Daphnia pulex: one gene and its partner. The protein of the gene in region 2 purifies or fractionates together with the protein of the main gene of each other region. This does not show direct contact. Links are inferred from orthologs where the notes say so. Each region holds a gene or a part of one and is shown on either strand. Other genes may lie near its edges.

What was found. Proteins that work in one complex are often made in the same cells at the same time.
Region 1: the proteins of negative elongation factor B-like (region 2) and negative elongation factor A-like purify together in Homo sapiens (affinity purification with mass spectrometry; 8 studies listed by BioGRID and IntAct, counting the BioPlex papers as one, with this or other methods). This does not show direct contact. The link is inferred for Daphnia pulex from reciprocal best matches to the Homo sapiens genes NELFB and NELFA.

The regions. Positions count from the first base shown.
Region 1 is NC_060020.1:1,900,461-1,904,889, forward strand, and holds negative elongation factor A-like, read right to left. Parts: upstream 2,919-4,429; 5' UTR 2,762-2,918; coding exon 2,549-2,761; intron 2,447-2,548; coding exon 2,260-2,446; intron 2,191-2,259; coding exon 2,105-2,190; intron 2,035-2,104; coding exon 1,638-2,034; intron 1,570-1,637; coding exon 1,070-1,569; intron 1,002-1,069; coding exon 902-1,001; intron 831-901; coding exon 613-830; 3' UTR 148-612; downstream 1-147. UniProt on the Homo sapiens protein: Essential component of the NELF complex, a complex that negatively regulates the elongation of transcription by RNA polymerase II.
Region 2 is NC_060017.1:4,644,558-4,648,918, forward strand, and holds negative elongation factor B-like, read left to right. Parts: upstream 1-1,425; 5' UTR 1,426-1,578; coding exon 1,579-1,860; intron 1,861-1,919; coding exon 1,920-1,959; intron 1,960-2,015; coding exon 2,016-2,164; intron 2,165-2,220; coding exon 2,221-2,281; intron 2,282-2,339; coding exon 2,340-2,461; intron 2,462-2,564; coding exon 2,565-3,059; intron 3,060-3,118; coding exon 3,119-3,269; intron 3,270-3,329; coding exon 3,330-3,409; intron 3,410-3,467; coding exon 3,468-3,569; intron 3,570-3,629; coding exon 3,630-3,848; intron 3,849-3,913; coding exon 3,914-4,036; 3' UTR 4,037-4,067; downstream 4,068-4,361. Other genes in the region: malonate--CoA ligase ACSF3, mitochondrial-like, read right to left, coding at 1-102, 166-619, 677-1,046. UniProt on the Homo sapiens protein: Essential component of the NELF complex, a complex that negatively regulates the elongation of transcription by RNA polymerase II.

The sequences.
Region 1 (4,429 bases), on a different chromosome or scaffold from region 2:
ACAAACGCAAAATTATTTTAAAACAAAAACTGGAAGTCGCGTAAACCAATAGCGACCGGGACTGTTAACGATTTCAATACACATACTTCTTTTTTTTCTTAACAAAGAGTATCGCTTTTTTTATTCGCTTTGAATGATATGAACATGTTATGCATGGATCTGTGTGTATGAGAACTACAAGAAAACTGTACTTTGAAAGAAAGAAAAAAAATGAACAATTTTCAAATGCTGAGATACTGAACAGTATGCCGCCTCTAAGGCTTCAGCTTGGTTTGTGAGATGCGGGCGACACGGAGAGGATAAGGACTGAAAGTCAAGTCGAATCGATAGGAATGAAGAAAAACAGGGAAAGGAATAGTAATGTGCAAAACAGAACTGGAAAGAAGGGACAAGTTGAATCGACTTTGGCACCGAAATATATCAAAACAAAATAAATCCCGTGCCCCACAGTCGGAACAACGCGGTGGGTAGGGGATAGAGGGAAGGGCTTACTTTCTCATCCGCACTCATTTCTCCTCGCCTCTGTCTTGTAACATCCATCCTGCTGCTATTTACACAGAATTTTCAAGTCCCTCTCTCTCTCTCTCTACTGCAACCAGATTCGTTTCCTATTCAGCCCGTCGCTGTGGCCATGACGGTGGCGACCGACGCCGGAGTTTCTTCCGTTTTCCTCATTTTCTTGATGCGTTTCCATTCGCCGGCTGCATAGTTCATCTGGAAATGCGTCTCGACGACCCTGGTGGTGGTGACACCGTCGGTAGCCGTCACAACCTCCTCATCCTCGCTCAACTTGATGGTGACGATGTTTCCCAGATGTGGACAAGGATTTTCTAGAAATATCAGTAAGTAAAGAATGAACATTTCTTTTGTTTTCAAACAGCATCATTCCAATGAAAGTTACCCCGAGAGCCTGCCATGAATCCGAGGATAAGGGCTTTCTCCGGTCGTGTGACTTTGTTGGCGTTCTTGAACATTTCTTGAGCTTCTTGCATTTGCTCGCGCTATAGAAAACAAATGTTGAATTACCAAAGAATCATTCACCATGACTGCAACGACAATTAAAACTTACAGTGAGCATGAGTGCCACACTCTTTTTGGGTGGAGCGGCCGGTTGATTGGGAGTTGCTGCCGCCACTGCGACAGGCTGCCCAGCAGCAGCAGCTGGTTGAACCAACCGATAAACGGTGGGCACCGTAGTAGCAACAGCAGGTGTCGCAGCCGCCGTTTGAGCTGTGACAAGGCGTACCACTTGGGCAGGTGGGGCAGGAGAAGCTGGAGGTAGAGAACTGATTGAAGGAGTAGTAGGCGGACGGACGGCTACCATTCTAGGCGGCTCTTTCAACGGCGTAAGAGGTGGGATAGAAGTGGAGGCAAGTGGAGTGACAGGGGCGGCCGGGGTTGGAGGCGGGTTGCTCGGAAGAAGGCCAGCTGCATAGTCGGGCGTTGGAGTAGGTTTTTCGGGAGTTTCGGGGACACTGCCCGTCTCTGATTCTTCGCCCGAAAGCGGTTGTGCCGGATTTGTAGAGGTAGCCGTCGTTTCGGTGGCTGCTTTTTGGGCAGCTTCCAGTTCTTTACGGGGGGAAAAGAGGCAACAGCGTTAACAAGCAATTCGATAAATATAGCTGGATACGTATTACCTTGTTGTCGTTTTCTTTTCTTCGCCTGAGCAAATCCGATCGGCTGCTCATTGATGTCCAGCAATTTGATACCGCCATCTTTTCTGCCAGCTAACGTGCGAGGAGACGGACGGTTGGGACCAGCGGACGGAGAAGATCCTAGAGCACCGACACTTGTGGGCGTCGTCCCAACGCGCGAAAGTGGCGAAGCGAATCCTCCAATGTGCCGGCTAGGAATGCCTTTCAATGGTGTCGTGTCCGTCATCTTCCTTGGAATTCCTCGTGAGCGCAGTGGTACCGTAGGAGCAGGATTCTTTTTCAAGTTATTTTGGGCGTCGGTGGATTTCTGCAAAAGCTCGGCACGCAGCGCCGCTGACTTGGGTTTCCTCTTTAATGTGAAATGTTTGATGGGGTGGGACTGAAAGAGCAGAGTCAATCGCATATAATGTAACAGGTTCCATTTTGGCGCGAAACGAGATGAGCGTTACCTGCTGGCCGACAACAGTGAACAGTGCTGTTTTATTCAAATAGGGGCATTCTAAAGGAAGCATTCCAGTTTCTCCATGCTTTTTCACTGTAAGTTATGTTCAAAACCATTACGAAAAAGCCACGATGAAATGAATTTAGATTTTTGCCAAGTTACCAAGTTTTCTCAAATCATTTGCAAGATCGTTGAAGATTTTTCTTGTGTATTCATCGGTGGCAGAGCCAATTTCCATGTTGAGGGCTCCGGTGGCTGGGTATGTTTTGAGGATTTCAGCAACCATGGCTACCCACGGATCACCATCAACAACAGCCACTTCCAAAATTTCTTCCAACTCTGTCTTCCACTATACAAGTAATAAAAAACGATTACTTTTCAGAATCTACGAAGTGAAATGACAAACAAGATGGAGAAAAAGACGAAATCAAACTATATGAAGGCCACTGACCTCTTCTAAGTTCCTCCTTGAGAACTGGAAGAATGATAGTAGAAATTTGAGTTTGACTTGTGTTTGCAGCTCGACAAAGCATTCTTGAATGTTCTTCAAAACTTCGGGATTGAGTTGGGAACAAATTGAGCCGCCTGCCCAGGAATCAGTGCTGATACCAAGTTTATTATGAAGCCAAAGTGACGTATCTGAGTCTCTCACGTTGGACGCCATTTTCCGCCCTGTTTTTCTTTTTTCTTCCTTTGCTTTTCTCAAACACAAGGTTTCTTACAGCGAACGGAACAGTGCCCACAAACCAATTTCCCACTACTTGTTTACAACTTTTTCACTGTGAGCCAGAAAATGTCGATGCAGACAGCGTCACTGTGGCGTAGTTTCGGATGAGACCGAAACTTACTTTACCACTAACGGCCGCTAGGGGCGCTGCATGCCTGCCTCTATCTTTTTCGTTGCGCAAATTTGGGCTAGTTGCCACTGATACGATTGCTTGTTAGGCCAAACTTAAAAAAAAAAAAACGTATTTTGAACGACCGATGGAAACGGTCGCGGGAAAATCAAAGATGAAAATATCACAACGATGCCATATATTGTTATTAGTCACGTTTCTCGATGGGATGCTGTGCTGTGACTTGTGAATGGCGGTCGTAGAAAAGAAAAAAGAAAATACAAAATGGTTTTCCCCAAGCGGAATTATCTGTCGTTGAGTACAAGCGTTTGTTTGCGTTGCGATGAATGGACTTTTTCTTTTTTTTTATTTTACCAAAACCGCGTTGTTGGGAAACGTTGCTGCTGTTCAACTCGGCTGACTAGACTACAATGATTCGTTATCGAACAACCAAATAACGGACGTGAATCACTCGTCAGGAGGTCGCTTAATCGACCTAAGTAAATGATGTGCCATTTCTAAAGCTGTAAATATAGTTTCTTGTCGAAACTATTGTGTGTCGAGTGATCGAATGGTCCTAAAAGTACTCAACGCTCTACCATGTCGACCGTAATTGTATAACGAATTAGTCGGAAAACAAATTAAAAATTCCATTGTTATAATCTGATCTTTCGTTGCGCGCGATCGAGTTTCTCTTTAGAACTAACCTGCATTTTAGAATAGAAATATTTTGTTTTCTTTTAAATTTCAAACTTGACGCTGATTCCGTTTAAGACTCAGTGCAAGTATCAAACAACATGTAACGCAAACGCAACACGGATGAAGTGTATACAGTTAATCAATACAATGTCTCACTTCCAAACTCGCCAACTGATTTCAGGCGCCTTGATTCAATTAAGTACTATGTAGTACCTATCATTAAGTTCGTAACCCATAAAATCTCCCGGTGTCTCACTACTAGTTGGGTCTCGGTGCTCCGAAAGCCCGAAGTTGTGTCGGTCAATTCGCACGATTAACCCCTAATAAGGATCGTTGGTCCAATTAGGGCCCAGCAGTATTATTAGCGCAATGAAGTGCGAGCGTGTAATGCACCCAAATCCAAACCACCTTCCGTGACTTATTTCAATACTCAACTCCAATATGTGCTCTCATCTTAAATGTATGTTACACACCCATCTCCCCTTCAACGTCACATCAGTTTTCTATAAATAAAAAGCTTATTAAAAAACAAAAAAAACGTTGAAAAACAAAGTCATCTATTTCCGACGTTCTTCCTTATATCGTCTGGTTGGGTTAGGACAGTTCCGGCTACGATAGAATCTCTTAATAGGAAATTCAGTCGCTCTGATGTCCGTGTGGTTAATTAAGTGCTGAACAAAAGGAGCCCAGCATCAGATTAAATTTAAAAAAAGACCCAAAATGGAACGACTCTGCTGGCTCAGCAGTCGAGAATCTATTATGTAATAACCGTTTTGGGGGAGACAACATTTTGACAT
Region 2 (4,361 bases):
GGCACACCCATGAACAGAGTAGGCTTTTCCTCTTGACTCACGTTAGTATTTAAGAAATTTTCCCAAATTGCTTTCGAGTCGAATTTGGGCAACATAATACAACTGAAATTAAGCCGCTGAATTTAGTGTCGATAACAGTAAGTAATTTCATTTAAATTCGAATACCTGGCTCCTACATATAGGGGACACAGCAAAGCGTTTATAACACCATGAGTGTGATGAAGTGGAAGCGCATGAACGATGACGTCTTTTTTGGACCATTGCCATACTTCAATCAACATTCGTACCTGAGCATCGATGTTTTTATGACTCAGTAGAACTCCCTTGGGTTTGCCGGTGGTTCCACTAGTATACAGCATCATAGCATCAGAATTCTGATAAAATTCCATTGGCTTTGTGTCACAGAGAATGGATTTTAGTTGGGTGGGTGTAACATTTTGGTTGATGGTTTGTTGCCATGATTCTTCTAGAATTACAGATTTGGTATCCTGACCAACTGTTTCGTGGACAGCATTAAGCAATTGGGAATGACTTTGAGAAGCAATTATTAAGGCAGCATCACAGTCTTTGACATAGTAACCCAACAAAGATGGAGGATGAACCGGACTGAGTGGTACAGCTGCAATAGAAATAATCATTATTAGAGAACTTTATGTTTTGATATATGTTTTGATACCAATGTGCCCTGCCGCCCAACAGGCCCACTGAGATATAACATAGGTAGAGTCATTCGGACAGAGGAAGCCAATTCTTTCTTGATTTTTTTCTGGACCTATAGAACTTTTAATCATATTTGACAATTTAATGGCTTTAAGCAACACATCCAAATAGGTATGAGATCCATGGCTGTCTTTAATAGCAACTCGATTGAGATGTTGAAGAGCAATTCGATGTGCAGGAATGATACCACGATTTTCCATCGTGGATTGAATTCTGCCTGGAGGATCTGTATTACTGATAGAGTATGGTCTACTTCGAAGGGTTGAATTAAGTACACCGGATCTCAATGACTTTAGAAAAACAGAGAGCATCGTCATGTTATTCATCAGTCAAGTAATAAATCGTGAGATATCTTATCATCTATAAAGGTGTAATTCTGCACGTCGAGATAAAATTCGAATCTGATAAGAATATTAATAATCCTATGAAGTAACCTTGGAACTTGGAAGTCTGGATAGAGACAACTGATGTGTTTGTTTACAAAAAAAAAATACTTTATGTCGTCTGCTGTAGCTCCCGGCCTCTTTTCGCAAGTCAAAAAGACCAACAGGCTTGCACAATCGTTTGCAATCTTTTCTATAATCGTTTTAAATGTTATGTATATAAAGGGGAAAAAATCAAAACAATTACAATTGGGGTCCAACCACCCAATATTTTGTAATTAAATTATTTTCTAATTAGATGCTCCTCTATAATACTCGTGAAACGGCAACGTTGTCTAGACTGTCAACAAAAACTTGTTGTTGGAAATTTGTGTCCGGGAGTTACACTGAAAAGTGAAAACTGCGCGAAGAAACTGATTCTTCGGGATATTATAATTTGAAATACATTACGTGTGAAACGTTATTTTTTTGAATTATGAGTCGAAATCCCTCTTCCTCGGCAGTTCCAAATGCAGCTGGTCAGCCGGCTGGTGTAACACCATCAACCAGCACTCCATCTGCATCTGGTCTTGAAGTCCTTGGAATACCCGGAGGAACATTTCTCAGAGAAGCTTTGACTTCGTGTAGTGATCCTCTTCAAGCCATCGAAGAATTTCAAGTTGAAAATGGAATACTTCTACCTTCTTTAAGACCAATGATGCCACTTTTGGATTTACATGGAGTAAAGCGGCTTGATTTCCACATATCTGTCATGGAGGTTGTTTACATGAAAAGATTTAAAACACACTTAGTTTTCAATTATTTTTATGCTTTTAGGCACTTCGTGATAAGCTTTTGGCCCAAATTGCTGATTTAGGTAATGCATCTTTAATTATTTTAAAATCAGTTTTATTTTACATTAACTATCTTCAGGCCAAAAAGAAGGAAAAGAGAAAGACAAGAAATTGAAAGAATTGTTGAACAAAAGCTTTCTTGTAGTTAAAACTAAAGCTCTAAGGCCAGTTGTTATGGCAGTTATGAAACACCTTTCTCATGTTGATGAAAAATACCTCAAAGTTTTGGTAATGTAATACATTTATTATTTGAATTCAGAATTTAATGAAATGATTGATCTCAGGTGAAAGACAAAGAACTTTATGATGATTGTGATACTGTGGTTAAGAGGCAAATGTGGAAAGGTATCCTCTTAGATAACATTTCAAATACAAGTATTATAACTTTTCATTCAAATTTTAGACAACCAATCCCTTTTTGGTGATGAGGTTTCACCTTTACTCAGTCAATATATCAAGGAAAAAGAACAACTTCTCTTTGATCAAAATAATCTGACAAATTTGTTTTTCCTACCATCTCCTAAGGTAAAATGAAATGGTATTAAATGGTCTTTGTGGCGCTGCGACAAAATATATACCTTTTTTATTGGTCAAGGAGAAAAATAAAAATCTTTCTTTCGATTCCCAGGTTCGCCGCCAAGGAGAAGTGGTCCAGAAGCTAGCGCATATGATCGGAAATAACGTTCGGCTGTACGATATGGTTTTGCAGTTCTTACGAACATTATTTTTACGTACTCGTAACGTTCATTATTGTACATTGCGTGCTGAACTGCTTATGGCTCTACATGAGACGGAAGTGCAAGAAATTACAAACGTTGATCCATGTCACAAGTTCACCTGGTGCGTGGATGCTTGCATAAGGGAACGTAATGTCGACACCAAACGTTCTCGAGAGATTCAAGCGTTTCTCGACGGTATAAAAAGTGGCCAGGAACAAGTTCTTGGAGATCTGTCTATGATGCTGTGCGATCCCTATGCCGTCCATTTCTTAGCTACGTCATCGTTGAAGATTTTGCACAACCTTGTTGCATCAGAAAGTTTGCCTCGAGAACACCATATTTTACTTTTATTGTTACGGATGCTTGCGCTTGGTTTAAGCGCATGGCAGATGATCGATTCTCAGGTAGGACGAAGATTCAAAACAACCATTATTCCTTTATTAATTTCAGTAATCTTGTGCAGGAATTTCGGGAACCACGGCTTGATTCTCAAGTTGTCACGAAATTTCTTCCGGCTCTCATGTCGCTAATGGTGGATGATCAAGTCCGATCTCTAAACTCGAAATTACCCAGTGATGAACGTGAATCAGCTTTGACCATTATCGAACATTCAGGTACATGTAACCATTACTGTGAAGTTTCAAGGCACGTTTACTTAATGCTTCTAATAATAGGACCTCCACCCGATGCATTCCAAGCATACATATCTGAAAGTAGTGTACCTTGTGTTCTAGCAATGTATTACACTCTCCAGGTATTATTTATACTATATGTGAATAATGGCATTTATTACTGTCATTCCTCGGATTTAGGTGGCAAGAAGTAGAGACAAAGTGGCTTTAACTCGTGTTTTGGGCACGCTTGCTGTTGGTCACGGCGAACGATCATTCGAAGATCCTTTCCTTCACACTTTGGTAATATCCTATTTTACCTATTAGATCATTAAAGTAAATAACTTTATAATTGGAAAATAGGTTGCCCATCTGATTCCAATGCAGGATGAATTTGTCAATGAAATGTTTTGCACAGTTGTTTTTGATGAATTTTTTTTCACATCAATTGGCAAGGAGAATGTTGTCAGACATTTAACAAAACTTGTGTGGTATGTTCATCATAAGCTACCTGCTGCTAGACTTGATACCTTAATGAAAGCACTTCAACCAAATCCTCAATCCCCTGAAATCATGCATCAGGTAAAAATATTATTATATTGGCATAGAAAAAAAAGAAAATGTCCATAAATGTGCTTTGCCTTTAGGTCTATAAGCAACTGGAGCAAAGAATTGAATCATACCAGCTGAACCCATCATCTATGACTCAAGGAGTCCACAATGATGACTCTGTGTTGATGATGAATGTACCTACTCCAATGTCAATGTAGAATAAAACAGTGTATTGGTCAGGCTTACAAACAAGATTTAATGATGATTTATTGATAATAGAGCTCCAAATTCATCCCATCATGAATCTCATCTACAAGAAGAGAATAAAACTTAGTCAATATGGAGTAGCCATAAAAAAACATCAAATTCAAAAACTACTTACAGTCCTCCAGTTTGATGTGATCCTTGTAAATAGTGTACCATTTTTTTAGAACAATCTTCTCCCATCTGGTACCTGTTTGCGCAGCAATCAATTTTTTCAAATCTCCAATTGTGTCGTCAGGGTTACATTTGACTCGAACTTTCTTGCCAAGACGATCGTTG